Tamandua tetradactyla: one gene and its partners. The protein of the gene in region 3 purifies or fractionates together with the protein of the main gene of each other region. This does not show direct contact. Links are inferred from orthologs where the notes say so. Each region holds a gene or a part of one and is shown on either strand. Other genes may lie near its edges. The genes, in order: GLCCI1, ANAPC4, DYRK1A and FAM117A.

Region 1 (7,790 bases), on a different chromosome or scaffold from region 3:
ATTCAGCCACATAGGAGAAACTTAATCCATGACACATTTTAATTACTTTAAACTCTAATTAAAAAGAAAACACTATGATAGTCCAGTATACTACCTTCCTAGAACTACTACAGCTTTCATATATTGTTAACATTATGTTTGGAACTAAAATAAATGGAATGTCACAATGTGGAATGAGTTAGAGTATTTAGAATCTTTGGTCCTCAAGATTCCAACCTTTAAATGTGCTGACTTTATGCAATATAGTCTTTTAGTTAAGTGGCAAAAATCTTATGTATCAGCTTAGGGGTTATGCCGCTGGCATCACAGTTGGCAATTGGAATTGCTGTGAGAGGGAACATTGAAAAATCCATTGTCCTTATCACTGTTTCCTATCCTTGGAGGAATGACTGCTTATTTACTCTTTTGATGACCTTACCAGTTACAAATAAATTATCTCCTATCTCTATTGCTTTTCCTGAACTTCGTTTAAAAAAATAAAACAAAAATAAAAACAAAATTTTCGTCGGTTACATATACTTTTCCTTCCTATTGAATTAAATATTTATTTTTCAGTTCCTTTACTCAGGCCTCTTGAGATAGAGCCCACTACCCGTCAGCAGGTGTCACTCCCTAACTGATCTTCCCCAGCTGTCATTCACTGTCAATTTCAGTTGTCCTTTTTTACCCTGTAAATTTCAACTGTCTTTTCTCCATTACCAGTTCCATTTTCCATGAGCCTCCAAGAGCCACTAAGGTTAATATCTTTCACTTTGCCTGTGTAAGGACCATATTATGGGATACTCCTTTCTTTTTGAATGCCAGTAAATATCTGTATGATTTACAGTGGCCACAGTGAACATTTTTCTACTCTGTGGTTTGGCCATTGCAGCAGAAATACACCTGTTATTATCATATGATTTTTTTTTTCTGATGTAAAGCACCACTTTTAGTTCATGGAACAAATACTGATTAAAACTGGCTACTCTTTCAACCACATTTGAATAAATACATATTGATTGTCTACCATGTACCAAGGACTGTGCTGGAGATTCAGCAATTACAAAACATAAGTCCTTCCTTCTTGGCTTACAGACGTTGGGGGTGGGGGGGAATGACAATATATGATAGGTTGGATGGTGATAAGTGCTCTGGAGAAAAATAAAGTGGGATACAGAGTAGGGGAAGCCTAAGGGGGGTGGGGCTTGCAATTTTAAAGTGAGTGTCCAGAGAGGCTCTCACCAAGAAGATGGTGACAACTGAGTAAGGACCTAATGGAAATGGGGAACAAGAACAAGGATATCTGGGGCAAGGGCCTTCAGATATTCAGGCAAAGGGAAGAGCTAGTGCAACGGGGCACGTAAGCTCTCATAAGCAGTAAGGAGTTTTACTTTACCCATCTGCCAGGGACAAAAATGCAAGCAAGGCTTTTTTGTTGTTGTTGTTATTAAGAATCACCTACAAAAGAGTTTAATTAGCTTAAGATGAACATCAGTGTAGATCTGTTTAGTGTTCTCTCACAGCCATGACCTCATTGCTAATACTGACAGCCTAGGTTGCCCCTTAGATTTGGTTGAGTCTTGATGCACAGCTTGACAAATCTGGGTGGAACCAGAAGAGGAAGGTTTCCATCTATGGAATCTAAGCCCCTTCTTTGGTAGGTCTGTAGGCTCGACTGTTCTTTGTCTGCTCATCTCTCCGCCGGGGGCTGGAAACTAATCATTTGTGGCAATCATTCCAAATTATAATCTAACCTAAAATATAGTCCACTGCCATATTTGAACCAAAAAGTACACATAATAGTGTTTTTTTTCGCAGGCACCAGGAATTGAACCCAGGTCTCTGGCATGACAGGCAAGAACTCTGCCTGCTGAGCCACTGTGGCCCACCCCATAACAGTGTTTTATTTTAGGTTAGCTAATGGTGGATTCATGTCCTACAGATGGCCAAGGCATGGGGCTACTAAGAACAAAAGTATTTCCCATGTGCTAAATTACGCTTTCAATTTTGTCTTCTAGTAAGAACTTAACAACATAGTAGAGAGGTCATTACTAACATGAAGCCGCATATAGAATTTTCAAAGATAGTTACACTTATTTTCAACAAATAGGCATAATCTGCGCTGGACCTATGAATCCCATAGATAATATAGAAGCATAACAATATCATTCTAGCCCAGCAATCCACACTTGCTTCTGGGTGTTACCAATTTACTGAGAACATTTTCTGAAGCTTTTATATATCCTTGGATCTCCATTCCCATTCTCAATAAGAGAAAAATATATAATTCAACAAATGGGGACATTTGAAAGGAAGCACTGGGTTTAGTTTAGTTTAGCCCACCTGAATTGTTTGAAGACTAAATTCTATAAACATGAATATCAGTGCTTATTTAATGACATAAAGGTTTAAGAGCTGCCTAAGATTTCCTTAGGAAAGAGAAAGTAATTGAACTTCCAAATAGGTCATGATGACTTACCAGTAGCTGAAAATAGTATTCTAAGATCATACTAAGTCTCCATGTGATCCATTTATATTTGTTTTACATCTCTGATTTAAGGCGGCTCTGGAAGATTTGAACAAACACATAACACCTCAAAATATGGCGAGATATGTTGTCTTTTTTAGATCCAAATCAGGTTTTGATCACTGTGACAGTGGCTTGGTGTAAATTTAGAACTATTGTAATATAATATTTTGTGGTTTTTACATAATTATATCTAGGAGTGGTCAGAGATGACATTTCTATAATGAATCCATGCTGTAATCAAATCAACATGTAGAAATTTACCAGTACTTTTAAAAAAGCTTTACATATTTTAGTCTGTCAAGATTTTTTGTTTTTCTTTTTCTGAAAAACTCACCAGAGAGAAACCATTTATCATTCTTTTTACTCATGAAAGATTGCTATTTCCTAATTAATGAGGAATTATCGATTTTTAGATGAAAAAATGACATGTCAGATGAATACCAATTTTGAAAGAGTAAGGTTTTTGCCCTATATATAAAGTATCTGTATTCTGGAAAGCAAAATAATAGTGCGCTGTTTTCATTTGTAAAATTTCTTTGAACTAAGGGAACTTATCTCAGAGATGAATTTTGTGGACTGTTGTAAATATTCTACTGATCAAGTACCCCAAGGCTTTAAGCTAGGAGGCACTAGAGCAGAGAAAGGGTTTACTCCTGGACTCTTGAGCTAGGCTGAGTAATCCTGGGCAAGACATTTAACCACTTTTTGCCTCAGCTGAGAACACAGTGAGACTAATAATAGCATTTATCTTAAGTATTGCTGGCACATGGTGACTGTTTAATAAATGTTAGCTCTTATTCTAATATAAGATAAAGTGAGGAACTATCTCTAGTCATAATGGAATGAAGTACTGTATGTAATTTTTGTATTTTTATTGGATTTTGTCACTTTTTTTTTTTTTTTTTACAGAACTAAGTATGCTTTTTAATGTGAGGCACACGGAAGCAGAGAAGGATGTCTCCTTTGAAACTGATCTCTGTATATAGTCCCTGAAATCACAGGAACCTTGTCAGTATGAACAAACACTGGGAGACCAATCTGGGGTCCCATTTCTCTTTTTTTACCTCTTGGAAATTAAGAGAAGGTATCTGATTTAGACTGTTAAATAAATAGTTTCTGCTTAAGGTTTAAAGCCTAAGTTTATTGTGGGGTAAACTTGGGTTTTTGATAGTCATCTGAAATCCTTGCATCTCTTCAGATTCATTTCAGAATAAAAACAGAATTTACCACAGTGGATTGTTACATTTAAACCTGGTATTTATTCCTTCCAGGAGGCCATCTGCTTCTGGGGAGAGCCAACGGGTACCCTTCATTAATATACCTAATGATGGTATAATGATGTAACATTCCTAGTTGACCCCCGCCCCTCCGAAGAGTTGCCATCAGGGAGCATAAGATTTGATTATCTCTTTTTAATGTATAACTACAAATGTTAGGATGGGCTATAAAATTATATAAAAGGCCTTTTGTTCAATCCAGCTGCCAGACATTGCTCCAGACTACTTTATTAATTATATTAAGCACGGTAAATTCTTTGATTAGTATACTATCCACGAAAACCCAAACTAAGATTAAAGGGGAAGGGATGGCTACTTCTAGTTTTAACTCTACATCATCCCACCGGAACAGGTGTACTTGCAAAGTAAAATTCCCTTAACCCAGGAAGGTGGAGCACTTTACAAGCTACTTGCGGGTGTGCCCTTGCCTGTGGTATGGGGCACGCGCAAGACACACATGGACCAACTTCACTAGGGCGGCCCAATCAAAATCTCGCTCTCACCGCAATTACTGTCAACTCTTACGTCCTTCCCTGGGCGCCTAGCCCCCCTTCACGATTCCACTCCCCCACGCCCCGCCCCAAAGACAGGGGCGCCATTTTCATTGGGGAGCGCTGCTTTCACTCTTAGCCCAGAACCAATCACTTGCGTTCTGATGGAGAGCAGCGGAGCCAATAGAAACCCTCGTTGCGGGAGCTGCCGGGTCCAGAGCACCGGGAGGTGGTGTCGGGGGCGGGGTCCCGGCGTGTATGTGGGGGTATTAGTTGCTATTCGGGGTGAGGACCGGGTAGAGGTGGTGGCGTCTGCGGTGGCTCCGCGGTTCTATAGGCACCGTGAGGCCCTTCCCCCTATCCTCATCCCCAGAAGCTATCCGTGCCGCTGCCGGGCTCTTTTCCTTGTGCAGCTTCGCGGGGGCCGAGGAAACTGCCAGCGGCCCCCAGAGCTGCGTGGTCTAGGCGGTTGCCCCACTCCTCTGTCACCGCGATGCTCTGGGCGGCGGCGGCTCCGGAGTCCTCGCGGCTCCGGCCGTGACCGCCACACGCCGAGCTCTCCCGGGCGGTTGGGGCCTTTGGACGTTTGTTTTCGCAGCTTTCCCCTCCCCCCTCTCGCCGAGGCGGCGGGGGTGTGCGTTGGGAAGAGGGAGCCGAGAGACTCCTCCTCCTCCCCTATACCCCCGCCCCACCCCCTTACACACTCGCACGCACCATCGCGCCGGCTCCCACACGCTCGCGCGCCTCCCGCTGCGCGCCTCCCGTTCCGCGCCTCCGTGTCGGCCGGCGGCGTCCAGGGCCCGCGGAGCCACCATGTCCACTGCCTCCTCCTCCTCCAGTTCCTCTCAGACCCCTCATCCCCCGCCGCAGAGGATGCGGCGCAGCGCCGCGGGCTCCCCGCCCGCCCTCGCGCCCGCCGGGAGCGGGAACGGTGCGGGCGGCGGCGGCGTGGGCTGCGCCCCGGCTGCGGGAGCCGGCCGGCTGCTGCAGCCCATCCGCGCCACGGTGCCCTATCAGCTCCTGCGGGGCGGTCAGCACAGTCCCACGCGCCCGCCTGCCGCCGCCGCTTCGCTGGGCAGCCTCCCGGGCCCCGGCGCGGCCCGCGGCCCCAGCCCGCCCAGCCCGACGCCGCCGCCGGCTGCGGCCCCGACCGAGCAGGCGCCGCGGGCCAAGGTCCGCCCGAGACGGTCCCCTGAGAGCCGCCGGAGGAGCAGCTCACCTGAGAGACGGAGCCCCGGCTCGCCCGTGTGCAGAGGTAGCGAGCCCAACCCTCCCGTCCTCCCGGGCTGCGTCTCCCCGACGGTGCCCTCCGTGGAAACTTCAGCCTCTCCGGGCTTCTCTTTGCTAGTGCATTATCGAAGGTGTGAAAGCGGCTTTGGGAATCTCACCCCCCTGCGGTTGCTGCGGGGCTTGGTTGAGCGAACTGAAAAGCAACTTTTATTTGACCCTCCTGCCGCCCCTCAGATTTTCTCTCCCCCATCATTGTCCTGCATCGAAAGGTTATTCAGTTTAATAGCCGACTAGCTTTCTCGCGTGTTTGCTGTTTGTAGCAGGGGAAGAAGGAGCCGGGCGAGAGACACTTAAAAACACGCACACAACTCTGCAGCTGCCGATACGGTGGTGGTAATCTCTGCAGACTCTTTGTGCTTTCCTGCAAGTTCCTAATGTGCCTGTAACTATCGGGATAAATGTTATCTTTTTGGAGGGGTTGGTGGTGGTAGTTATTATCTAAGGATCTCTGCTGTACGTGTAGAAGGGGCAGTTTTCACTGTGCAATTGAAAGGTTTTGGATTTGGGTTGTTTTTTCCCCCCCCCCGTCTCTGTTCTCTACTTTATATAGTCGTATGCATCAGAGCAGTACGGTACTGGAAACAGTTTATGCCCAACTCAGGATTTTTATGGTAAATTTTTAAAGGTCCTTTTAAAAAGTACATTTAACTGTTCAAGAATCTCATGTTTCTGTTTTGTTAGGTGTCAAAGATAATAGTGACCTGGTGGATACTGTGGGCTTGTCGTAACGTTTTCTGTTTTGGTTTTGTTTTGTTTATGTCTAGGGACACAGTGCATGATCTAGTTGAGTCCTAGGGGAGAAAAGAAAGATTAGCCAAAACAGGGACTTAAAGCTCATAAGTAGAGTGGAGTAGCTAATATTATTAGATACCAGCCTAGAGCTACAGATGCTGCTGCTGCTGCGCTGTAAAAGGAGCAGATCATACTGAGTGGAAAAAAAAAATTCTCTTCCTGGAAGAGAAACACTTTTGAGCTCTGCACAATGTTTATGTGGTATGTGGAATTGTTTTTAATGGAGTTTTCTTGGTGAAGGTCTTAGAGTTGGAGAAAGTGATTCTCTGTGTTATGATAGATTGCAGTTCTAATGTTTTTGTTTTACTATCTCAGACCTGTAATTAGCTTCTTGCTAAGGCACTTGTTTTCAGACCACTTGATCGTGAACTAGAATAGGATATAAGTGTAGTGGGATGTGTACATGAGCACCAAGAAATACATCCTGTAATCTGTATGCACCAGGAGGAATTTGCTCCCCCACTCCTCCCCTAGGTCAAGCCAGCTGCTGCAGAAACTGACATCCTCCAGCAAATCCTGAATGAATGAATGAAAACAACGTGATCGCCCTAATAATGACCACAACTGAACACACATCTTTGGCTGTATTTTATAGAAAAGGCCACCATTTTCTAACAGATTGATGCCATATGCAACACTCTTGCACATTTTCTAGAGCTGTTTGAAATGAGAGGTAACAAAATGAAAAGAAGGCAGCAATTACATAAATTTCTGGTGATTTTGCTTCAACAATGTATATATTGAGTTTAGGGATTTTATTTTAGCGACTAAGGTAAGCATTGCGGATTGTGTCCAGAGGTTTTGTGGACAGAGTAAGAGTAGTTTTGACATTGCTTCAACAATAATGGCCATCTAGTACTGGTACCTCCTCCCCTCATGTTGATAAACACTAATATCTTACAACAGACCATAGTACGAGTTGTTTTTCTACATCCTTCAAAAACCTTCATTGCTTAGAAATTAATGCTCTGTCATTAAATAGTTTTAATGAAATAGTTTTAATGAAATTTGGGGTCAGGCTTAAAATACCCTCTTTGTTGTGGTGTGGTACATCTAAGTTAATGCAATTTTAATGCAATTATGATGAAAACACTCTTCTGAGTCTAGTTGTGCAGCAAACAGATTTGCATCACCAGAGAGCTTGTGTTGAGAATGAAAGGGCTTTCTCTGCTAGAGATGTTTTTCTGTGTTTGTAACACCAGGTGGTTTTGTCAGTTTCTTGCATTGAGGTGATTTTGAATGCAAGCTCTTGTGTCCCCAGTTCCCTGATTGAATTACCCCATCCTACTTCTCCATATCCCATTGCTCTCTGGCCACCCAAATTAAAATTATACAACTAATCTTTCTGTCTCTATAACCATTTAAAATCCATAGAACATAGAACAGTCAATTTAATTTTTCAAATTATTATCTACTCAGTTTCTTTTGAAT
Region 2 (7,688 bases), on a different chromosome or scaffold from region 3:
ATTTTTTGTGCGTGGGGGTAGGTGCATGAACCAGGAATTGAACCCGGGTCTCCCGCATGGCAAGCAAGAATTCTACCACTTAACTACCCTTGGACCCCCAGTTTATACTTCTTTAAGGTACTTAAATCATGCCCTATATTGGAATAACTTTGAGTACTTTTTTTACCTCTGAGCAAATTAGAAGCTTGTTGTTAGTGGCAGGGGCCTTGTGGACATCATCGTGTGTGTTCACTGTGACTCCTCAGCCCTGGGCCTTGCACACAGTGATATCAGGAGACAACCAGGTGCATCACATATGCTCTCAGCTCCTCCTCCCAATAACCATGGGAGTAGGGCAGATAGGCTAAGGCATTTCTTCGCAACAAGACAATGCCCTCCAAGTGGTCAATGTTCTTTATGGATTGAGTGGATGGAAATCCCTTTTATAAACTGCATGATGCCTCAAAACCCTAACTGCTACATGAAAAGCTATCAGGTAAAGAAAGCTTCCACAAAACGCAAAAGAAAATCCAATTGCATGCATTTGATGCTATTTTAATTGGGGCATTAGGACATGGCTTAAAATAATTCAGGGTCAGCTAAGAAGCTCGACTGTGAAAAGGAGATTTCTGTTGTTTGGAAGGCTATTTAGTGTGAATGTTAAACTCAGCAAGACCAAAAGTGAGAAAGCAGATCTCAGAGCTGTGAGCAGTGAGTTTTATCCTATTGGTTGGACAGCCACAAAATTCTCAAAACTGTTTTGTTTTTAATAGCATGCAGGTTAGATGAGGCAGGTTAGATAATATCCAGTGAGCTCTAAGAAGCAGTCTGAATCGGTGGGCCTCTGTTTCTTTATCTACAAATGTGAAGGCAAGGAATGGGAGCAAACTAGGGAAAATCAGCCCAAACATTCCTCAGGTTTAAAGAGGATAAAAGGAAACAAAGGTTCCTGCTTAATATCTTTAGAATTGATACATGATCCAAGTATATCAAAGAAAATTAAAATCATCTCTAATTCTACCTCTCACAGATAACCACTGTTACAACTTTGGCATGTACTCTTCCAAACACAGAATCTTGCATAAATAGTTAAATAGGTAGACCCACTCTAAATTTCCTCCAACAAAAACGGAACTGTAAATACATATTATTTGCAACCTACTCTTAAGTCAGTCTCCCATAGTAAACAACCTGAGTTGTTTACAGTTTTTCATGATTGTAAATAATCCTATGATAAGCTTCCTTATATTCCAGTCTCTACTTCCTCAGGATAAATTCCTATACATACGAATACTGGACTTGTAATTCTTATTAGAACTTTTTTTCAAATTGGAAAAATAGTTCCCATGAGTTAGTATGAATATCTTTCCCAGAAAAGCAACCAAAACAGTCATGGGCAACAACAAAAACCCCAGCAATCCAATTTAGACTCATTTTGCCAAGACATCATGTCCCAAATGTTCTTCCTACTTAAAGCTACCCCTTAACTATCATGATTGATTGTTGTATTGCGCAGTGTCGATGGCTTCAGCAGCATCATACAGACCTTCCCATTGCGTGCTCCACTGTAGACCTGCCATGGGAGTTGGGGGAGGAATGACTGTATTCTCCTGGTCTCTGGGGGCAGGCGGGGGGGGGGGGAACCTTTTTATTGGGCTCCATCAATCAGCATAATTCCCTCACCTTTCCCAGTGGGTGATTTCTGGCTAGGCTGCTAATAGGGGTTGGTCTAATCATAATGAAGTCCAACATCTTTGTCTTATGGTTGGTAGAGGAGGCGTTCATTCTCCTGGTCTGAAAGAGGTAGCATACAGCTCCAGTTGCGGTCTTCTGTGACCACATGGGGAGCCAGCCTCATGATGATATAAACCCTGTAGAAGGCAGACAAGGTAGCTGGGTTCCTGATGAGACTGAATGCTGGATCTAGTTTGGCCTGAATTCTGCCCTCCTGCTGGACTTTTAATTTACATTAACCACAACTTTCTTGTTATTGCCTGTTCAACTTTGAGTCACGTTTTTTTGTTGCCGAATGGATGCAACTGTGGTAGAGCAGAGAGGTTCCAACACCACCCATTTACATCCTTTTCTCTTTCCTGCAAATTCACATTCAATTTGCTTGTTTTGTGTTTCAACCATTTTATGACTTCAAAACAGGCCTCAAAATAATAGCTCTTCATATGGCCTGTATAGGTACATCCCACAATTCCATCTTCCATTTTGTACACAGAAGAGGGAATCTCAAACCTTTTCTCAGGTCCTGACCTTTCACTTTCAAACCTGATTTTTCAGTTGCCTGCTGGCCATGATGGATTGATTTTTATGCCACACTCCCACCTTAACATAGACTTCACCCCCCAGAAATCTCTGTTGGTAGCTCTCTGGCCTTTCCAAATCTGGCTCCTCACTGTTATAATAGTACAATCTAGACCAAAGAGTATGGCGATTGAAAATCAATCTAGCTAGTCAAAGAGGTATTTCAAAAAAGTTAGTTCTTTCTTGCATTTTAAAAAGAAACACTTAGGGAGAGAATATACAGAGCGCAGAAATGCTTAAAATCTGCCTATTTTCCATTTACTTCACTTTTCCCCACTTTTCCCACATAAATATCTCCTGCCTTGTTTCCTTAAATAGCGTATGATCCATGAACTACTTTCTCCCCGTTTCTTCTTGATTTTCTGTTACAAAAGCACAAATGAGCAGGTTTGGCAAAGCAGTTCTTACACAAAAGATGGAGAAGGTAAAGAAAGGAGCTGGTAAAGCAAAGAACCTTCTTCATCAGGTAGTAAGGAAAAGCTAAAAACACATGCGTGTTAATAGTTTTTTTTCCTTTCCCTATTTAGGATCATTTCCAGTAACAACAATCCCTGCTCCCTACTCCCCACCAACACACACGAGGATATAAAACTATTTGCTGTTATTTCACCACATATGGAACTCCAAAGCTATCCTGTTTCCTGAACTTTAATACCTTCTTTCTAGAAAATTCATTCTAATCTCTTCTAAAATTTCTTAGTGTACAACTAGTTAACACTGTCCTGTCCTTCAATCCTTTTTATAATGTGCTGTATGAGGGTTCTTATTCAGTGTAAGTTCCAGGTAAACATCAAGAGTTAAGAACAGCACTTGGCACAAAAACAGCTTCTTGAATATTTGTCTCTGAATGAATTAATCTATATCTGTCACCTACTTCCCAGGGGCTAGATCAGAGAGAGTACAAGATGACAGAGCTTGAAAACTGAAGGTCCTGCCACCTTTTTTCCATTGAACAAGTAAAAAGTGAAACCTGGAGGCCTTTCTACCATAGTCATAGGATGTCATGGTGACATCCTGTAAGCCCGAGTCACGGCTCAGGAAACTGTTGAATGGATTGACACATTTAAATATGTCATTTATAAAGGGCAGTCAGAAGGGTCAGCATTTACATGTTCTCTGCCAGACTGGCCTATGAGCATTTTGAACAGAGCCTTTTGAACAGTCATGTCCAATACGTCTCTGTAGCCCCAGATTCTTGAACATAGGAAATGCTCAAATAGCTACAGGCTAAGTCTTGGATGAGCCCACACTCCGCATTCTCATATGATGGGGCTAGTACTACCAATATGTAGTGAGGTTTATGTAGGATAAGGACTCAAGGCATTATATCCCCATCTGAAGGAGGGTTTAGAGTCCCCGCCTTGGCTTCAAGTTGTAATCACCTACGGAGTTATAGTAAAGTCAGTAAGCCATCCTTACTACCTGATGGCTGCCACACGGTACTGATTTTCCTTGAATTCGTGTGGAGCGCTGCATGGGCAGGATTTTAAAACCTCTCCAGATGATCCCACGTTGTAACTGAAGACCACTTGTTTAGAGGCTGTCAAAGGCGGCTGACCAGGTCCCGGAATTCACATGCCTTTTTCTCTCCCTATCATCTCTGAGGCCTCAGCCTTAACCTCTGGACTGTCCCTTCGCTGGCAGAAGCAAATTTCCGGGAAAACGGGAGAGGCAGGCGGGCAGGCGGCCATAAGGACGAGCCCCATGCGTCCCGCTCGCCGCCTCCTGGCCCAGCGCTCCCGAATGCCCCGCGCTCGCCGCCCCCAGCCCACCGACCCCGAACCCCCGATCCCGCCTGCCCCCACCCAGCCGCGCGCCAGCTCCGTTTTCTAGCGCGGAAGTCCCGGCGCCGGAAGTGCCGAAGCGCGCACCCGGACGGCCCGGAGGCTCCTGCGCGCGGCCGACGGAGGGAGGGAGGGAGGCTGCTGGGGCGGTCTGTACCGCCTGGATCGCCTGGGCCGCCGAGGGGACCCTCGCAGGTACCGCCCTGTCGGAGATCGCGGGGTCGGAGGCGGCGCCGTGTCCGGCCGGGACAGGGCGGCGGGGGCTCCCTGGGCCGGCGGAGGGGATGCTACCGGCCTCCAACTAGGGTGTCTTTGCAGGGCGGCCCCCATGTTGCGTTTTCCGACCTGTTTCCCATCCTTCCGGGTGGTGGGCGAGAAGCAGCTGCCGCAGGAGATCATTTTCCTAGTCTGGTCTCCCAAGCGGGATCTCATTGCTCTGGCCAATACGACGGGCGAGGTAAGTGAACCGGCGTGGAGCCCGTCTGGGGCAGGGCTGACCCCCTGTTGGTGCGGGTCACCCACTGCCCGAGCCTCAGTTTCCTTTTCTGTGGACAGGGCAGGGTACCTGACTTCCCCGCCTCTCACTCCCATGACCGCAGCTATTAGAGAGAGTGCAAAGGGCCATATGCGCGAAAATTAATAATATTTGTGGGTCCATTTTCACATAGCTTAACACAATTCTGCATCCCCAAATGGTCTTCATTCACTGAGCGAGAATAGTGGAAGATGCACAGACTCTACCCTAAGTTTGCTTACAGTTTAGTAGCAAAAGAAAAATGAGTTATTACTGTGAGTTCGCTGAAAATCAACATACACGTAACTGTCAGATACTACAGGTTTAAGGATTTTCATTCTGCTGTCCAAGTTTTAAACTGTGGTTTCATTGCTAAATACATTTAAATTGAACAAGGGAGACATGCTTCGCAGGATTTCTACCAGAACGTGCAGTGACTTACTGATAAGCATTTCTAGTTCATATTACATTACCCTACATGTATAAACAGAATGTATACAACTTTTTGCCGAGATTTCATATTGACCGCAGAGCCATTCTGTAAAGAAACCTTCACTGGTGCATCTTCCCTCCTTTGGCCTCCTGACAGTTTTCCTGATAGTTGTCAGACCTTGAGCGGTGTGTGCGCCCGAGTTTCAAAGATAGATGTTAAGGTAAGGTTAGCAGTATACAGAACTCTTTCACCTTGTTGCCTGCCATAACCCCGCTACCAGGGTACTGATAATTGTACCAGAAGATGAAATATGTCCTTAGATTTCTTGCCCCTCCGTGAAATCTTCTAGTCTTTTTTCTGCCAGGGTGCTTTGTAACTTTGTGACGGTTCTAGATGGGAGTAGATAAGCTACAGATAGTTCAGCCTCAGCAATAGGGAGGAAAGTAGAGAATAGGGGCATCAGTGCAATCAGATGAGTAGGCACTTGTTTTCATTTTCCTGTTGAGGGAATAATCTAAGAAAGCTGATGAAGAAAAAAAAAATACTGGAAGCTTGAGTGAAAGGAGAGGTATGAAAAAGCTGACAAGGCAAGTGGGCTGATCCATGAGTTTAGTGGTCTTGTAATTTTTTTTTTTTTTTAATTTTTTTATTAATCAAAAAAAAGAAAAGAAATTAACACAACATTTAGAAATCATTCCATTCTACACATGCACTCAGTAATTCTTAGTATCATCACATAGATGTATGATCATCATTTCTTAGTACATTTGCATCGATTTAGGAAAAACTAGCAAAACAGCAGAAAAAGATATAGAATGTTAATATAGAGAAGAGAATTAAAATAATAATACTAATATATATATATATAAAAAGGAAAAAGAAAAAAACAAAAACAAAAGATACAAACACACAAACAAACAAACAAAAAACCATATTTCAGGTGCAGCTTCATTCAGTGTTCCAACCTAGTTACATTACACTTAGGTATTATTGTGCTGTCCATTTTTGAGTTTTTGTATCTAGTCCTGTTACACAGTCTGTATCCCTTCAGCTCCAATTACCCATTATCTTACCCTGTTTCTAACTCCTGCTGGTCTCTGTTACCAATGATATAGTCCAAGCTGATTCTCAAATGTCGGTTCACATCAGTGGGACCATACAGTATTTGTCCTTTAGTTTTTGGCTAGACTCACTCAGCATAATGTTCTCTAGGTCCATCTATGTTATTACATGCTTCATAAGTTTAGTCTGTCTTAAAGCTGCATAATATTCCATCGTAGGTATACGCCACAGTTTGTTTAGCCACTCGTCTGTTGATGGGCATTTTGGCTGTTTCCATCTCTTTGAAGTTGTAGATAATGCTGCTATAAACACTGGTGTGCAAATGTCCGTCTGTGTCTTTGCCCTTAAGTCCTTTGAGTAGATACCTAGCAGTGGTATTGCTGGGTCGTAATCCATTCTGCCATTCTATGTCTTTTGATTGGGAAATTCAGTCCATTAACTTTTAGTGTTATTACTGTTTGGGTAATATTTTCCTCTACCATTTTGGCTTTTGTATTATATATATCATATCTGATTTTCCTTCTTTCTACACTTTACTCCATACCTCTCTCTTCTGTCTTTTCGTATCTGACTCTAGTGCTCCCTTTAGTATTTCTTGCAGAGCTGGTCTCTTGGTCACAAATTCTCTCAGTGACTTTTTGTCTATAAATGTTTTAATTTCTCCTTCATTTTTGAAGGACAATTTTGCTGGATATAGGAGTCTTGGTTGGCAGTTTTTCTCTTTTAGTGATTTAAATATATCATCCCACTGTCTTCTAGCTTCCATGGTTTCTGCTGAGAAATCTACACATAGTCTTATTGGGTTTCCCTTGTATGTGACAGATTGTTTTTCTCTTGCTGCTTTCAAGATCCTCTCTTTCTCTTTGACCTCTGACATTCTAACTAGTAAATGTCTTGGAGAACGCCTATTTGGGTCTATTCTCTTTGGGGTGCGCTGCACTTCTTGGATCTGTATATTTAGGTCTTTCATAAGAGTTGGGAAATTTTCAGTGATAATTTCTTCCATTAGTTTTTCTCCTCCTTTTCCCTTCTCTTCTCCTTCTGGGACACCCACAACACGTATATTTGTGCGCTTCATATTGTCATTCAGTTCCCTGATTCCCTGCTCAAGTTTTTCCATTCTTTTCCCTATAGTTTCTGTTTCTTTTTGGAATTCAGTTGTTCCATCCTCCAGTTCACTAATTGTAGCTTCTGTCTCTTTAGATCTACCATTGTAGGTATCCATTGTTTTTTCCATTTTTTCTTCTTTGTCCTTCACTCCCACAAGTTCTGTGATTTGTTTTTTCAGATTTTCTATTTCTTCTTTTTGTTCAGCCCATATCTTCTTCATGTCCTCCCTCAATTTATTGATTTGGTTTTTGAAGAGTTTTTCCATTTCTGTTCGTATATTCAGCATTAGTTGTCTCAGCTCCTGTATCTCATTTGAACTATTGGTTTGTTCCTTTGATTGGGCCATATCTTCAATTTTCCGAGCGTCATCCATTATTTTCTGCTGGTGTCTGGGCATTTGATCAGATCTCCCTGGGTGTGGGACCCAGCTGGTTGAAAGGTTTTTCTGTGGCATCTCTGGGCTCTGTTTTTCTTTTCCTGCCCAGTAGGTGGC
Region 3 (8,286 bases):
ATTCAAGTCATGCAATTCACTTTGTGAGGGCAAGTTGTGTCAGCATCAAGTTTCAGGTGACTATGTTTGAATTTTAATTTCTTTACTTCTTAATGGAAAATATACAAGTGCCTGTGGAGGTAAAAACATCAAAACACTCCTCAACGAAATTAACTCACAGTTTAAATTACCGATGAGTACAACAAAACTGTACAACTGGTAAAATGGGGGGGAGGGTGAAGAGCAGGTTCTTATAAAATCTCTTTCTGAAATTTTAAGGGTTTGCTGGTTTTGGATGGTTAGGGTTTTTTCCTAGGGGTAGGAGGGTTTTTAAAAAATATCTTTAGAAGAAATAGGAAAGCTCTTTGGGATAAGAGAAAAGCTAACACCAAAGCAAAGAAAAACTGATACACATCTTATCACATATATTGAGTCACAAATCTCTAAGCCTCCTCTTCTATTAATCTTAGGCAATTCCCTGCACACCCATAATAAAGTTATTTCTATCCAAATTTTCTTCCCATACCTATATACTTGCCAAACATAAACATGTGAAAACACCTCTGGGCAGTCTAAATTTCTAAGCTATTTCTTTAAAAAAAAAAAGGGTTTTCAAGTAATACCCAAAATTCAATGCAAATTAGCAATTTTTCTTTGTACAAGTACAAAATAAGCTATCTCGAATTTTGCTTTTGCAGTTAAATTATACAGACCACCTACGAAAAAACTAAGTAAATTTTGCAAATACTGGTTGTTACACTGACCACTACCCATCCCACGTGGTAGCTACAAATCATAAATAAATGCACTAACTATCCATAAGTAAATCTGAGGGACAGACATCAGACAATATTCTAGAGGGGAAAAAATTCTACCCAAGAATCTTTTTAACTATCCACATTTCCAAACAGGACATTGCAAATTAATAGATTTTTCCCACTTATTTTGAATGTTAGTGCCTCTTAACAGACTGCACTTTATTAATTTTTTAATTCCTAGGTCACAATAATTTTGTATGTTTACATTTCTAACAGGTCCCACCAAAAATTTTTTTAAATACATTTAAGAAACCATCTTATACCTAAATTTCAAATTCTTAATAAGATATCCTAAGATCCATTTCCCCTCTATCACTGGTTCTACCAATCAATGATGACCAGTCATCCATCCTACAACTCTATTCCTTCAAATCTAAACTCTTTTTTACATATCCACCAGGTGTTACAAACCCACCCTACAGACATGGATGAGACTAGAATTAATTTCTGGACTTATGTTTCTGTGAAATAAATGTGCGCTTTTACACCAGTTTTACACAGAACATGGTGTAGACATTCATAGCAGTTCTTCGTTTTCTGGGAAGGTTTGATGTCTAAACCATTTGGACAGCTACCATAAACACCACTGCTATTCCAAGGTAAATTCTCTAAGAATACTGGGGTAAGCCTAAGACATATGTACATTAAAAATCTTAACTATGACCAAGCAAACTTTTTTCTTAACTCCTGCTTCTCTGAAACTACCTTCTTGCGTTTTAAAACCTCAGCACATGGAATTTTAGTAGTTCCAGTCTCATGCTTATAATCTAATTTAAAATAATATTCTTTTAAAGTAAATGAACCATCAAGGTATAAGAAATCTAAGGAAACAAAAACTAAAGATAATTTTACTGAATTATTGAAATACTCCAAAATCAAAGAACTAAATATATTCATTTTTACTAACACTTGATATATGTAGAGTATAAAGTGTCATAGAGGAAATCTACATATTTAAAGATGAAATATGACTAAAAATAGCTACACAAAACTTTGAGTCATCAATACTTCAATGATGACTACAATTTGTATTGTCAAGAATACACACCAAAAAGTTTTCTTTCAATCCCTTCCATTCAAAAACTGACTACATGGTTTTCTTGCGGGGGGGGGGGGGGGGGGGGGGGGGGGGGAGTGGGGGAGGAGGTGGTGTGAGAGGGGAGCCTGACAAGTTTCATTAAGGAGGCCTCATCGCAACCCTTTCCTTCCACTTCCATAAACCAAAGTTAACTCTAAGCTGAACACTAGACTTAGACATGGACACAACCTCTAAGTTAGAACCCTGAGTCACTACACACAAACGGTTCCAAAATTCTCAAGTATTTATAATAACGAGTTTCATAAGGTAGTGGTTAAGGGCCCCAGCTCCTGCAGCCTCCCGGCTCTTCGTGTCCCCGCTGCCGTGTAACCTTGGAGGAGTCACTACCCGTCTCACGGCTCAAGGTCCTCATCTGTATAATGGGCAACCGTTCCTGCCAATGGGATCATTAATACACGTAAAGCGCCTGCCACTTCTTGGTCTTGAACTTTGGATACGTGTGAAAACCATGTGATAAAGTGTATTTTCTGATCCTTGGGCGAAATTAAGAACCAAGCCGTGCCGGTATTCGAGTGCCAGATTACAGGAGTCATATAATCTAGGGCTGGGTAAAAAACACAGATAAGTAGTCGGAGTCAAGCACTCACTAATTTTGCCATTTTTAACTACTGTCGAATAGGGAGGAGCGTCTTGCTAAGTGCTGAGGTATTCAGCAGCTTTGGTGAATACCAAGCGAGAGTGGATTTGGGTCTATAAATAGACTTGCGAAGTTTCGCCGTCTTAGCCAGGTATCAATTATAATTCACCCATCCCCAGTCACCAACTCCTCCAGCCGCTAAACAAGTCATTCCTTCCTCTCGAGTGGCCGGGATTATTACTTGCACTCCCCGCACAACTTCCGAGCAAGCCGAGCCCCCTCACTCGAGCTCAGACCCCCAAAGGGATGCCCCGGGATCCGGCTCCGACCTTCCCGGAGCCCAGCCTCGGCCCGGCCGCCCTCGTCTCAGCCCGCATTCGGCCCCATTTTCTTAACCGTGCATTGTCCTTGCCAAGAACCCCAGCGGTTCCCACACTGGTGGGGACCGAGAGGAGGGACGAGGGAGGAGCTGGGGGAAGAGGATGAGGAGGAAGAGGAGGAGGAGGAGGAAGACAACCTCCTCCCCTTCGCTCGGGCGGCCAGTGAAGGTCTGCGCTTTCTCTGGCCCCCAGGCCCCGGCTCCCCGGAGGCCGCGGCGCCCTCCTCCCGCCCTCCGCAACTTTCCCTCGGCTCGCACCCGCCTCTCCTCCGAGACCGGGCCTCTCGGCTCCCTCCCCCGGCGGCCGGGCCCGGGCCCGCGGCGCCGCTTCCTAAAATGGCAGGTCCCTCCCTCCACCCGGCCAACCTCGCTCGGCGCGGGCCCGGCTGCAGGCCGCGCAGGGAGCCGAGCGCCGGCCGGGCGGGGCCGCGGCCGGGCCGGACACTCACCGCGACGATGGCGGGGCGCTCGCGCCGCTCCCTCCGGTGAGTCTCAGCCTCGGGCTCCAGCCGCTTCGCTCCCGCCGCGGCCTCCGCCGCCAACGCCGCCCCGGCCGCTTCTCTCGGCCCCCGGCGCTCTCGGCTCCTCGCCCGCGCCGCAGCCTCCTCAGTCTCTCGCCGGCGCGCGGTTCCAGCGGCGCCCGGGGCCGGGGAGGCGACAGCCCCCTCCCGGCAAATACCGCAGTCCCCGGACCCCGGCTCCCGGGCGGCGGGGCCGCGCGGCCCGGCCCAGCGCTGAGGGCGGTGGCGATGAGGCCGGGCGCCCAGTCGCGGCCGCTCCCGGCTGCTTCTTCCCGAGGAGGATTTTGTAAATCTCACAAAATGGCGCGCGCTCCAAACCTGCGCAGCGAGAAGCGCCGGGGCCCGAGCGGCGGCGGCGGCGGCCGCGGCGGCTCCTCCGCCAGAAGAGCCCGAACCGCCCGCCCCCGAGTCCCGCACAGACAGACACACACACACACACACTCGCACACACACGCACGCACACTCGCCCTCGCACACGCTCGCTCGCACACACACTCTCACACTCACACCGGTCCCGCCCGCTCGCCGGCGGCGGCAGCGGCAGCGGCACCAACAGCAGCAGCAGGAACAGCAGCAGCAGAAGCGGCGGCGGCGGCACCCGCACCCCCCGCTCGGGGTGTCCGCTCCCTGCGCCCGACTTGGGCCGCGATCGGCAGCAGCAACAGCAGCAGTCTCCCCGGATCCCCCCGCCGCTGTTGCCGCCGCCACCCCCGCCTCACTCCAATGGGGCTTTTTATTATTATTCGGGCGGGAAGCGAAAGGGTTTAAAAAAAAACCAACCAACAAAATGGCGACGGACCGACCCGGTCGCTATAGCAACTGTCAATCAAAACGCAAAACCCCGGCTGACGTGCTGACGTCCTCCTCCCGCCCCCTGGCCCAAAACGGGCGGGCGGGGCCTGTTGCTCGGGTAACGGCAGATTCCGTTCCCTCCTTTCCCTCGCCCCCTCCATCCCGGACCAACCACCCAACCCCCTCAGGTCACGTGAAGGATAAATTCGGAGCTCGGGCCCGCTACGAGTGTCAGAGGAGGGCGCGTGATTCGCTCGCTCGGGGGAGGGGAGACCAGAGGAACGGACGGTCCAAGGGAGGGAAGGTGAGGGGGGAGCGAGGCAGAGGCCCGGCCTGTGCGCGAGCGCCCACTGCCTCCCTGGCCGCCCCGCCCTGCTCCCGCCGCGCCCGCGCCTACTGCGGCCCCAGGTGCGCGCGCGGCCTCCCGCTCGCGTCGCCACCGCCCCCGGAGCCCGGCGCTTCCGCATCGCGCGCCCGCAGCCCCGCCCGCGCGGGGCGGGGGAGGGGCGTGCGGGGGGCGGGGCTCTGCGGGCGCCCGGCGGGGCCCGGGAGCCCGCCGCTTCCCCCGGGCCGCACGCGCGGACGATGCACCCTCCCTGCTAGTCCGGGGTTCTTTCGGTGGCCTGGGCGCACACGTCCGTGGGTTGAAACTGTTCTTCGAAGGACTCACGTCTCCCCTTCGCCGGAAAATGCCCGCGGAGGCCGCGATGGGGCTGGGCATCTCCGGAATTCCGGCCGCTTCCCCGGAACCAGGGATGCCCCTACGGCTGGCACCTCAATTCAGTCCTACCGCTTGGTTTTTGTAGAAACTACTGCCACCGTCCAATAGTTACGAGTGCAGCCCCCCCATAAAAATTTGTTAAGGCTGTGCACCCTCCTTCATGGTTTCCCACCTGTTTCAAACCTTCCCGTACCCTCCCCACCTATCTGGGCACAGCCTTCCTTCTCATTCGGAATTCCCCTTAAATTAATCCTCTCGGGCTATTATTACTGTATCCTTGTCGTAAGTCCAACTCTCTGGTTTTCTTTTTGATGTATCTTCTCAGCTTCCGGGTTCTTGATTTGGCCACTTGTTCTGAACAATCAAAACTCTTTATTACTCTTCCAGCTTTCATTTAATTTTGTTCTGACTACTCTTTCTGTCTGGCTAAATGTTGCTGGGGGTGCTCCCCAAGCATTAAAACTGAGGCACGCTATGCTGGTTACTGTATTCCACAGCCACAGAGTGAAAACTGTAATCTGTACAAATCCAAATTAATAGTACCTACCTGTTAAATTTAAAAGCGTATATGTGTGTGGGTGGGTGTGTATATACTACACCAAAAGGCACTGATCTATTGATTTTTTTTTCTAAGCTTGGTTTCCCTATCTTTTAGTGCCCACAAGTACAGTATCAACAAATAGAATCTTATGAACAATTTTAGGTATAAGGAAAAACATTCTTATAATAAATATTGCTCCCTGTCCTATGTGACTCAAAGAAAGATGCTTGTTTTTAATGTTTTTCTACAAATGTTTCCTTTCTACAGTTAGGAGAATATTGATATACCGAGGCAATGGAACTACTCATCCAACTCCTTCCTCTGTCGGCATTCACCATGGTTTCACTTTTGTCAGAACACTCAAGCATTTACAATCTTTAACACTAAACTAAAGTCAAGTCAAGCTTTTATTGCTGTTTATGGAGGAAACCTGCATAATTAATTTTCTTGGTAACCCTGAAAGAATAGGCAAAGTCTCAGGCACTGTGTTCTTGTCTTTAGTCGAGGCAATCTAGAAGATTATCAGAGTGAGGCAGAATCTTGATTTTATAGACAAGCAGAAATAGAAGGTATTGCTGATCTTCATATCCAGAAGGCAACACCTTTTTCCCCCCAATATTGTGATCAACCTTACACAACATTGATTAACGAACTGTTGTGTCAGGTTGAATGCTGTAAAGTGGTTTTAAATAAGCTTTGCCTGTAAATTATAGCTGGCTCCAAACAGGTAAACACATGTAGACAGAAAGGACTCTGGCATAGATGCCAGTTTGGTGTTGATCAGGTTCGGTGATCAAATCCTTGCTGTCATCTGAGACTCCTAGACGGATCCACTTACCAGATGTGTCTTTTCGTAGAAGTTAACCAATAAAAACGAAGATCATAACCTAAAAAGCAAAGGTAATAAAAGCTTCTATTTACCGAGCACATTCTATGATATCTCTAATCCTCACAGCAAATTTTATCCCCATTTTATGGATGAGAAAACAAATCTGAGTAATGAAGTAACTTTCCTAGAGTCACAAACCAGTACATGATGAGGCCAGGATTCAAGCCCAGATGTAACTGCAAAGCTCAGGTTCTTTCCACTACACCAAGATGATTTCTGTTAAAATTCAAGTGCCAATATCTAAGAAATTCAGAATTTTTCTTCTGCCACTTCTTCTTATGTGTTTCCTATGATGTAAAGAGCTCTGGATATTTATTTCCTCAAGGTTGGAATTAGTGCCATCGCCACCTGACTCCAGATAAAAATACTAAATGGAATTGATACTTATTCCCAAGGAGTCTGTATGACAGCACAGAACAGTGACAACCTTATTAGAAATATGTGGAAAGAAAAACTTCACCTCTGCTGGTTGTTTGTTCAACTTTTCTCATCTCAGACTCGAACTGTTAATTGAGAAAAACTCACAGCAAACAAATCTGTTCTTAAGTTAATATGGTAGATTCATTCATTCATTCAGCAGTCATTTAATCATTTACTGAGTGCCTACCCAGGGTCTGGCGCTCACTGACCAGGTGCCCACCTTCCAGGGGTTGGCACTGTGCTAAGGAATACAGATAAAACTGAGATGCAGTGCCCATGTCACCAGATCGGCGCCAAGATGGTGGGTTCTTTTGGTTGGTCCACACACGATTGGGGACCACTTTTTGTGGCTCATGACACTGAGCTCAAAGGTTCAGTAATTGGACCCCTGCTAGGAGTTATGGCCTAAACTTTCCAAGAATAAGCAAGCTTACTAGTATTCCTAGCTCTGCTCCTCACACCAGGTGAGAAGGTGAAGGGCTCACAAGTCCTCCCTGGACAGCGGCATGGTCCAGAATCTGTCACCACTACTGTTTTTTGACCTCACAGTGAAGGTTCTTTATTGCTCCCTTTTTCCAAGCTTTAAGGTTTGTCCTGATTTGAAAAGTAGTGCATGTACATCAGATTAAAATGAAACAAAATAAATTAAAACACAAAGGGGGACCTCACTGATATGAAATAATTAGAATAAACAAACTCATAGAGTCAGAATCTAGAATATAGGTTACCAGGGCATGGGGTGGAATAAGGAGTTAATCCATTTCTATTTGGGTTGATCATAAAATTTTGGTACTGGAGAGTGGTGATGTTCACGCAACAACATGAATGTAATTAAGAACACAGAATTGTATATGTGAATGTGGTTAAAGGGATAAATTTTGAGCTGTATATATGTTACTAGAATAATAAAAAAAAAACCAAAGGACTATACAACACAAAACAGTGAACACTATTGTAAATGATTGACTATAGTTAATAGCACAATTATAAAAATGTTCTTTTATGAATTGTAACCAATGTCTCAGACTAATGCAAGGTGTTAATAATAAGGTGCTATATAAGAACTCTGTATTTTATGCATATTTTCTGGAGTAAACCTATAACTTCTCTAATGAAAAAGAGGGGGCCTGATATAAACTGACAACGGTTTCAGTGTGCTATGAACCAAGAAGTTAAATTTCAATTCACTACATCAGAAGTTCAAAAATATTAAAATAAAAGTAAAAATGCCACTACAGAAAGTTTTTTGTTTGTTTGTTTGTTTGTTTGCATGGGCAGGCACCAGATTCCCGGGTCTCCAGCATGGCAGTTGAGAATTCTGCCTGCTGAGCCACTGTGGACCAACCCAGAAAGTTTTACGATACAGAAAACAATATAGAAATAAAGATCACTCACAACCACCCCCCTCCTGCCTAGAGGTAAATCTTACTAATCTCTTCATGTTGGCCTATAACCTTCCAGGCATTTTTAGTGAAACACATGTGCATACACACACACAACATATATAGAACACGCACACGTGTTATGAACACTTTCTTATGTTGATTAAA
Region 4 (8,529 bases), on a different chromosome or scaffold from region 3:
CTTTCAGTCGAGAAGATCTTCTCAGTCCCTTGATGCTGAGTCCAGCTCATTTTAGGATTTCTGTCCCACGTTGCAAGGAAGGTCTACACCCCTGGGAGTCATGTCCCACATAGAGAAGGGGAGGGCAGTGAGTTTGCTTGTCCTGTTGGCTGAGAGGCCACATCTGAGCAACAAAAGAGGTTTTCTGGGGGTGACTCTTAGGCCTAATTGTAAGTAGTACAATTGTAAGTAGCACAATTGTAATTGTAACTTATCCTTTGCAGGGATAAGTTTAATATGAACAAACCTCAAGATTGAGGGCTCGGCCTATTGATTTGGTTGTCCCCACTGCTTGCTAGAATATCAGGACAAACATCACATATTGTATGATTCCATTCATATGAAATATCCAGAATGGATAAATCCATAGAGACAGAAGCAGATTGCTGATTGCTAGGAGCTGGTATGAGGGGAAAATAGGGAGAAACTACTTAATGAGTGTGGGGTCTTACTTTGGAGTGATGGAATTGTTTTGGAACCAGATAGAGGTGGTGGTTGTATGAATTGTGGCTGTACTTAATGTCACTGAATTGTTCACTTTAAATGGTAACTTTTATGTTATATGAATTTCACCTCAATAAATTTTTTTTAAGGCTGCAATTTAGCAGAAAATTTGATTCCTATAGAAAGCAAAAGTAGAGTTAAGGAGTGAATGTCATTCAGTTGGAATGAAGGAGAACAAATAAATGAGATAACTGGGAATGAAGACAGAAAGTGGTGGGCCACAGCATGGGACAAACTGTGTCAGAGAAAGAATCGAAGGTCAAAATCCAGGACATCTGGTTACCCTGGGAGTAAGAAGGAAGGGGTACAGGGGAGGGAGGCTACCAGGGTAGGAAGAGATGCTGCAGGATAGGACCCCTCCCTACTCTGTTCCCATAACCTCATTCATTCCCTCAACCCTCCTTCCCAATCCCTCTCAGGCTGCTCTGCTCCTTCAGTTCTGACCCCATTTTCTCAGGATCTCATTCCCTGAGGAGCTGGGCCTGACATTTCAGACAGAGGCTGAGTTAAAGGAGGGAGGTCAGAAGGAGACACTATGTGTCTGCATCATCTTATTTTCTGCTTTATTATTTTTGAACTGGGGAAAGGGGGGCAGAGATGTAAGCACTTAGACATTTACCAGCTAGTTTGGAGATGATCCCCCAAGTACCAAGAAATATCAAGATTTCTCTGTTTTCTGTTGAACAATTGCTACTGGGTAAGATATTTTGAAGGGTAAAAGTGGTGATTTGGAACTCCCATACTTGTTGGTTATTGGGGCATAAATGGGCATGTGGTGTGGAGGATCAAGGAGCTGCAGAACTAGAAAGAGTCTTCAAAACTAGAAAGCTTTCTTTGGCTGTGATAACCCAAGCCTTCTCTTCATCCAGTAGCCAGCAGCACAAGGCCTCCGTGCTGATCCTCTGATCTGCCAAAATTTCCCACAGCTTTTTGTCCTTGGTAGCCCCTTGGACTCTTGCAGCTTTTAAGGTCCCAAGCCTTAGAAGGATTGGTTGGGGACTAGCCATACCTCTGACTCACACAAGTAGGAAAAATAACTCATATTCTCTGAGTCATCATTTATTTGTGACAGTTGGGAACATTCCAAGAGTAGGCTGGGATCGGGACTGAGCGCTTGCTATTGAAACTCTATAAGGCAAATCATTCTCCAAAAATGAAAACAATTTATTGATATATTTGGTCTATGTAATATTCCACTCTTCATGTGTTTCAGTGCCTGCCTCAGACCTGAAAACCCTGAAAGCAGGAATCACGTCATGTCTCTCAATTGGAATACCACCTAGCCCAGTGCCACTTCTGTCTCCAGCTTTCAAGGTTTGTTAGCTATGAACCCTAGGGCAGGGACCATGTTGCTGAATATTATTGCCATTACCTAGTTCCTAGCTCAGTGTCTCGCATGTAATGGGCACTTAAACGAATTTGTGATGAGTGGATTAATTAATGATGATGATATTGGTAGGATGACTGTGGGACAGTGACAAAAGTTTTCTTGCAGGTTAGGAGATACTTTGTAAAGCATGACATCTCCCCTTAGCAGCACATAATCTTCACAAAGCCGTGGCTTTTTTCACTGGAGGAAACAGACATGGGTTGATCTTCAGATATAGTCCTAACTTACCCATCATGTCCATGCCAGGAGAAGCTATCAGTTCTAGAGAAGGGAATAAGAGACAGCTGGTTGGGTATGATACCTGGTAAGGAGAGGACTGGGTTCTCTTAGGCATGTCTACCCTCTCACTCCTCCAGTTGGGGCCAACTTACTGTCTTTTGCCAGCCCCTTATTTATCAGGAAACACCATGACTGTCTGGACTCAGAAGATCCAGGTCATCAGCTATGCCACTCCATTGACTTTTCCTCCCCTGTCCAGCTCCTTGATTCCTGGCACCTTGGCTTTGGAGCAGAGGTTTGAACCTCATGTCCTTGGAACCACCCATATTACTCTTCTCTGCAAAGGAAAAATTCATCTGTACCATAATATTTCATTTTATCTTTAGAACAACTCTGTGAGATTGATATAACGGATGATCCTGGCAAAGAGAGATGAAGCCACTCACCCAAAATGTCTCAAGATCCATCATCCCAGTTCTTTTACCTCTAGCATATACTTTGTGGTTCAACCAATAAAAACTACCCACCGTCAACTGAAAACTGCCCAAGAATTTACAGGTAGAGGAGTCATAAAATGGTGTAAAATGTCAGATAAGAAGAGACGTACTGGCCTACCCTTTTGTCCTCAGGCAGGCCCAATGATGTAGAAGTTGAGTGTTTTCTTGAGTCAGGAGACTTGGATATAAATTCTGAACTGGATAATCTTGGGCAGGTCATCCAACCTCTGTGCCTTAGCCTTCTATAAAATGGGTACAAAAAAATCAGCATTCTCACCTTTTGTGCCTATTGAGATAATTAAATGAGATGGTGTATGTGAAAGCTAGAAAGCCCTAGACAAATGTTAACTAAATTTAATATCACAGCCAGATTTGCATCTTTGGAGACTCTAGTAATCCTTCTGTGTTTGTAAGAAAGTTTTACAAGCATAGAGATTAGTAGCTCAGGTTCTGGAGTCAGGCTGCCTAGGTAACCTTGGAACTGTTACTTCTCTTTCAAGCCTCAATGAAGAGGTGGTAATATCTATCTCACACCAAATATTCACACCGCACCATGCTTAACATGTAGCTGGTATGGAGAAAGGAACCCAGTGAATGTTAGCTGCTATCATTACAGATTTTATAATGAAGATGTGATGTAGGGTGACCCAACAGTGGATAGAGATCTGACAAGGAATCAAAAGGATTCATCTCTCTGGGCCTCAGTTGCCCCATCTGTATCAGGGCAAGAATTCATGTTTTCCCTCTTCCAGATTGTCATGAGGATTAAAAAAATAGTATGTGAAGACTTTAATCTATTTGGAATTGAGGAACAATATAAATGCAAGAATTTTAAAAAAACAAACAGGGTTTATAAAGTCTGAGCTTTCATCAGTTTATCAGCTTTTGTTCATTCCTCCCTGCCTTTGTCCCCCTCATGGAAAAGGAGTTCAGCATTTCTCCAGTCAAAAAAAACTTTGAATGTCAAATCTTAAAGTAAATCCTTCAAATGTGTGACTGCACTCTTTGCAAGGATAACCCTTCCTCAGGAGATTCCATTGCCTTCATTTGTTCTGTGTATGTAGGCTGAATTTAATATTCAGCCACTCTTGAGTTTCCACATTGTATATTATCTGCTTTCAATATTTAATTCCAGAATGACTTCCCCTTACCACACAGCACTCCCCCAGTTTATCTCCTTTTCTCTGATTAGTTACTGTCTTCAGGGATACCTTCACTTTTAACATTAAACTGGGCAAAAACAGAAATAGAAAGATAAATTGGTGGCAAGATCAAAATTAGAATTCACAGCTAAATATAAATCTGGAGGGAATTATCCAATTATTTGGATGGTCCCTTAACACAGACTACCCAGAGTTGATTGCCTCTGCTTTTTCCATATATAGAATAAAATGACTGATAAATACAGAGTAGTAATTTTTAATAGCACTTAATAAATGTTGTTTTCTTTCCCAAATTCCTTCATATATATTATAGCATGTGGTTTTTCACATCTGCATGCATTCCTTTTTGGGGGGACCACCCAGTCTCATTTTGACTTAGATGACAGTATTTAATTGGGAAGACTAGGATTTGCTAATGAGGTCTCTGTGGAAACTTAGGCAAGTTCCACAGTCACTTTATTCCTTCCACTCTGCTGAGCTAGACTTGGAACAGACGACCCTGAAGGGAAATTCCCTGCTCCTTTTCAGAGTTCCAATTTAATTTGTAGGCTAGCAGCTGTTTCAGGTTGGACCAACACCAAATAAGAACTTGGAAACGTGGGGAAGGACAAATGTGGGTGTCACATGAGGCACGGGAGCCATTAAGTGAACGAATGTTATGCAAATTGTATGCAAATACTGTGCAAACTTTGCATTCATTTGTAGAATCTTAGTTTGGAGATTGCAAGCAAGCACTGAGATCCTATAAGGGTTGAATAATAACGTTTTTAGGTTAAATCAAATATAATGCTTTTTGAAGTTAGCGCTTTCTCAGTGCTGCCCGGACTCAATTGCCTAAAAGTTTGACATCCCCTCACCCCCTATAACGATTTCACCAGCTAGAGCCTGATTGCAACCTACGCCCGCCCCGCCTCTGGCACAGTTGACGTCACGCGACATCGTATTTGCATACTACCTGGGGCTGGGTGTAACGCTGCCCCTTTCTGCGTTTTCTCATTGGCTGCGCGGGAGAACTAGCCCTCTTCGGGGTTGACCAATCAGCAGCCTCTCGGCCGTAGGCAAGCAGACTGGATGTTGGGGGTAGGGGCGGGATCGCTAAGTTCTGAAACCAATCATCCTCAGAAAAGGGAAGAGCCATCCGCGGATTGGTCGGGAGGGAGGTCTGGGGATCCGTAAGCCAATGAAAGTTCTGAGAAGAGGGGGCCGGGCCCCGCCCCGTAGGACAGATAAGTAGCGGCAGCGGGGGTTGGGGGGCTGTGTGGGGTTCGCTGTGGGGCTGAGGCAGGCAGGCTGTCTGGCGGGTGGGCAATGGCGGGGGCCGCAGCGGGCGGCAGAGGCGGAGGTGCCTGGGGGCCGGGGCGCGGAGGGACTGGGGGGCTCCGGCGGGGCTGCTCTCCCCCAGCCCCCGCCGGCTCTTCCCGGGCTGGGCTGCAGCCACTCAGGGCCACGGTCCCCTTCCAGCTGCAACAGCCGCACCAGCGCCGGGACGGGGGTGGCCGCGCAGGTGAGCCGGGCCTGGAGCGGGTACGGGGGAGGAGCCGTTGGGGGAGGGGGCGCGTGACGAGAGCGGAGGGTGCGTGAGAAGTGGATGGGGGCGAAGGAGAGAAAAGAGGGTGCAGAATCTACGAGGGCGGAGGGAGCGAGAGCGAGGAGCCGTGACGGTGGGGCTCACTGTTGGGACCCAGCGTGCAGGGAGTCGGGGCCGGGAGGTGAGGTGAGGGACCTGACAGATGGAGGTTGGCTTTGGGGGCGTAACTGAAAAGTGGGCAGAAGTGTCGTGTGGGGGTGAGTGGTAGATGCCGAGAGTGGGGGCGAGGTGTGGGGAAGGAGCGACGCGTGATGGGGGCGCCCTGTCGGGAGGGCTGGCGCTGGGAGCGAGCCGCCGGTGGGCGCTGGGCGCCTGCACGGCGAGGGGGAGGGGCATGGAGGAGAGCCCCGTGGAGCCATGTGTTACTTCTCCGACTTAAGTTTGGCCCCAGCATCCCACTTTACAGCTCTGGAGTTCTTCTCCCCGCTACTTCACGTGCGTTTTCCTTTATGCCACCTTCTGGAGCCGATTTCGTCTGAGCGGTTGGAATAAGTTTAACGGCTTTTACTGCGATGCGAACGCTCCGCTCCCGATTCCCTGCATTCCTCTCGCTGTAGCCCAGAAGTTGTATGTTCCCCAGATCATCGACTGCTTAGTATGATTGTTCATTCCAACCATCCCGTGTGTGTGTGTGTGTGTGTGTGTGTGTGTGTGTGTGTGTGTATGTGTATAGGACACAGACAGTTTGCCCCCTGCCTTTCCTTCCTCCCCCCACCAAGGTTGTATTGTTCTGAGCATTGCCAGCCAACGTGGCAGTGGGGTGAGGGCTCCCATTAGTGCACCGTGGCAAATACCCTACTTTCTGAACAGCACTGAAGTGGTATCTTAATAGCAGCTTGGTGTGGTAGGTGTGAGGAAACTCGGGAGGAGCCAACTTAACCTTGCTTTCACACTCAAAGCCATGACGGGTCCCACAAATACAGGCAGTTTGGAAAAGGAAAAGAAACCTACTTGCATGAGGAGGTTGGCAATAAGTTGAAAGTGAGGCTTGCATTTGATTCACACCAGATGTGAAAAGATCATTGCACACTTACAAAACCTCAGAGTCTGTACTAAATGTACAGAAGTCATCGCCTCTGCCATCAAACAGTTAATGGCATTCTCTAAACCAGAGTCGCCTGAGATTGTTGTGATTACTAAACTTACTTACTGCACATCCCCCTCCTGAAAACATATCTGCTACAGTGCATTGCTAGGTAAGAATGGGGTTAAGAGGGTCTTGGAGGCGGAAAGTCTACAAGCCTATCTGGACCTTACTATAAATGTTAGCATCATATCAGGGAATGCAGAAACTTGGTCAAATCTGGTAGCAAGATGGTGACCGAGTAGTAAAAGTATGTGTAGAATCCCGTGGTGTAGAGCAAGGCAATGCCCAGACAAACTTATGCCTATCATGAGCTGTAAAGCAAACCACAAGACTACAAACCTGTTGGTTTTGTTTGGGTTCCTTTTGAGCTCAGGGAAGTTAGTGGAACAGCAAGCACCAGAACCTTAATCACTTTTAGTAGAAATCAACAGAAAGCCTACCTGTGTAGTAGCTGGAAATCTACTAGCAATCATTTTAACAGCAGTTTTTGTGTGTGTCTACTATAGAACTAATATTTAAAGGGTAAACTGGTAAATGCTGTGAAAGCAGGAGTGCAGGCTTGGATGCCTGGGTTCTTTAGTGGCCTGCTCCTTTTACAGAACCAGGTGCCCTAAGATACTGGTAAAAACAGGAAACTTGAGCTCTGCATAACTTGTCAGATGATTTAGGGCCAAGTTGGGTGGATTCTTGCTTATAGGTGGGCCTGATTTATAATGTCTCCACATATTAATATCCCAGAGGTGTTAATAAGGTGCTTGCCTGGTGGATAGTGGGATTATCTGTAGATTTCAGTGAGACAGGTGAGAGGAAGAATAGAAATAGTAGTCTGAGCTTGTGGATTTATTTGTGACCAGACACGAGAATGTTCCTGGACTTTGGTTTAGGGGCACATCAGGCCTTCTACGTGTTAACTTAAATCTTTATGTGTATGTAGTCTGTTTTCATTTGTTGGCACTGAGAACTGTCAGGGGTGGTTTCTTTTATGCCAGTAGGATATATGTGATAGATGAAAGCCTCTTTCTTTAATAAACCCTTCAGAGCACAGAGCTGGGAATGAGAATGCCTGGGTTTTTTTTTAATCCAGGTTCTGCCATACACTAGCAGTGTGGCCTTGAGGAAGTATGCCTCATTTTCCTCATTGTGAAATGTGGATAATACCTTCATCATAAGAATCAAACAAGTTAATAGATATATTGTGCTTAGAACAGTGCTTGGCACATAGAGGGTGCTATAAAAGTGTTTGCTGCTGCTTATATTGTTATTATTCCCTCCCCCAAACCAAGGTGAGAGCACTGTTGGCCAGAGCCCATTGCCTTTTCAGGCTTCAAAGAGCAAACCCAGATTGGTCTGAAACCAGTACTGCAGGTTTCAGAATTTCGCTTGCACTTATATTCCCTCATCTTTTAAAATTAGCTTTCTGAACGGGGCTCTGAAACCCAGTTGTTTAAAAAGGCATGGGAGCTGGGACTAGGTTTCAGGAACAATTAAGTGTCGTCACTGTTTCTGTTTCCCATCTCAAAAGTGATGTAACGCTCAGGGCTGTGCAGTTATCTCCCTGCCACACACCCTGCTGTGCACTTGACAAGATATATTAGACCTTGTAAAAAGGATTATGGTGTAAAGAGCAGGATTTACCTTCTGCGGCCATTCAACCATAAGGGATGTTTCGTAAAGTGGGAATGGGTTCATTTTTATGAGCCTGGCCTAGGGATGAGTAAGCCTGAAGAGAGTGGAGAGAAAAATGAAGGTCAACTCTAAGAAAGCAAAGAACTCAGGATAAATGTCTTACTGTAATTAGTCATTAAATTAAAATCTCTTGTGTTATGTCAGTTGGAAGCTGAGAAATTGATAATGGACAAAATGGGATTAGGAGGAGAACTGTTATGGGTTCCAGTTTCACCTATCTTGTTTACTGTCTCTGTCTCCATATCCCTAGAATGAAGATAATGTTTAATCCAGCTTTGCAAATTATTTTTCCAGTAGACCAGCCCCACTGGTGCTGGCTGGGTGCTGGGATGCTGCCTCTGCACCTCCTCCGCCCA

The links.
Region 1: the proteins of DYRK1A (region 3) and GLCCI1 purify together in Homo sapiens (affinity purification with mass spectrometry; 8 studies listed by BioGRID and IntAct, with this or other methods). This does not show direct contact. The link is inferred for Tamandua tetradactyla from reciprocal best matches to the Homo sapiens genes DYRK1A and GLCCI1.
Region 2: the proteins of DYRK1A (region 3) and ANAPC4 purify together in Homo sapiens (affinity purification with mass spectrometry; 3 studies listed by BioGRID and IntAct, with this or other methods). This does not show direct contact. The link is inferred for Tamandua tetradactyla from reciprocal best matches to the Homo sapiens genes DYRK1A and ANAPC4.
Region 4: the proteins of DYRK1A (region 3) and FAM117A purify together in Homo sapiens (affinity purification with mass spectrometry; 4 studies listed by BioGRID and IntAct, with this or other methods). This does not show direct contact. The link is inferred for Tamandua tetradactyla from reciprocal best matches to the Homo sapiens genes DYRK1A and FAM117A.

Annotation. Positions count from the first base shown.
Region 1 is NC_135327.1:116,945,893-116,953,682, reverse strand, and holds the start of GLCCI1 (glucocorticoid-induced transcript 1 protein), read left to right. Parts: upstream 1-4,491; 5' UTR 4,492-5,090; coding exon 5,091-5,532; intron 5,533-7,790.
Region 2 is NC_135345.1:25,466,611-25,474,298, forward strand, and holds the start of ANAPC4 (anaphase-promoting complex subunit 4), read left to right. Parts: upstream 1-4,176; 5' UTR 4,177-4,271; intron 4,272-4,394; 5' UTR 4,395-4,404; coding exon 4,405-4,533; intron 4,534-7,688. UniProt on the Homo sapiens protein: Component of the anaphase promoting complex/cyclosome (APC/C), a cell cycle-regulated E3 ubiquitin ligase that controls progression through mitosis and the G1 phase of the cell cycle.
Region 3 is NC_135336.1:104,635,609-104,643,894, forward strand, and holds the start of DYRK1A (dual specificity tyrosine-phosphorylation-regulated kinase 1A), read right to left. Parts: upstream 3,413-8,286; 5' UTR 3,302-3,412; intron 1-3,301. UniProt on the Homo sapiens protein: Dual-specificity kinase which possesses both serine/threonine and tyrosine kinase activities. Exhibits a substrate preference for proline at position P+1 and arginine at position P-3.
Region 4 is NC_135332.1:30,938,470-30,946,998, reverse strand, and holds the start of FAM117A (protein FAM117A), read left to right. Parts: upstream 1-5,060; 5' UTR 5,061-5,120; coding exon 5,121-5,316; intron 5,317-5,385; exon of another isoform or gene 5,386-5,400; coding exon of another isoform or gene 5,401-5,521; intron 5,522-8,529.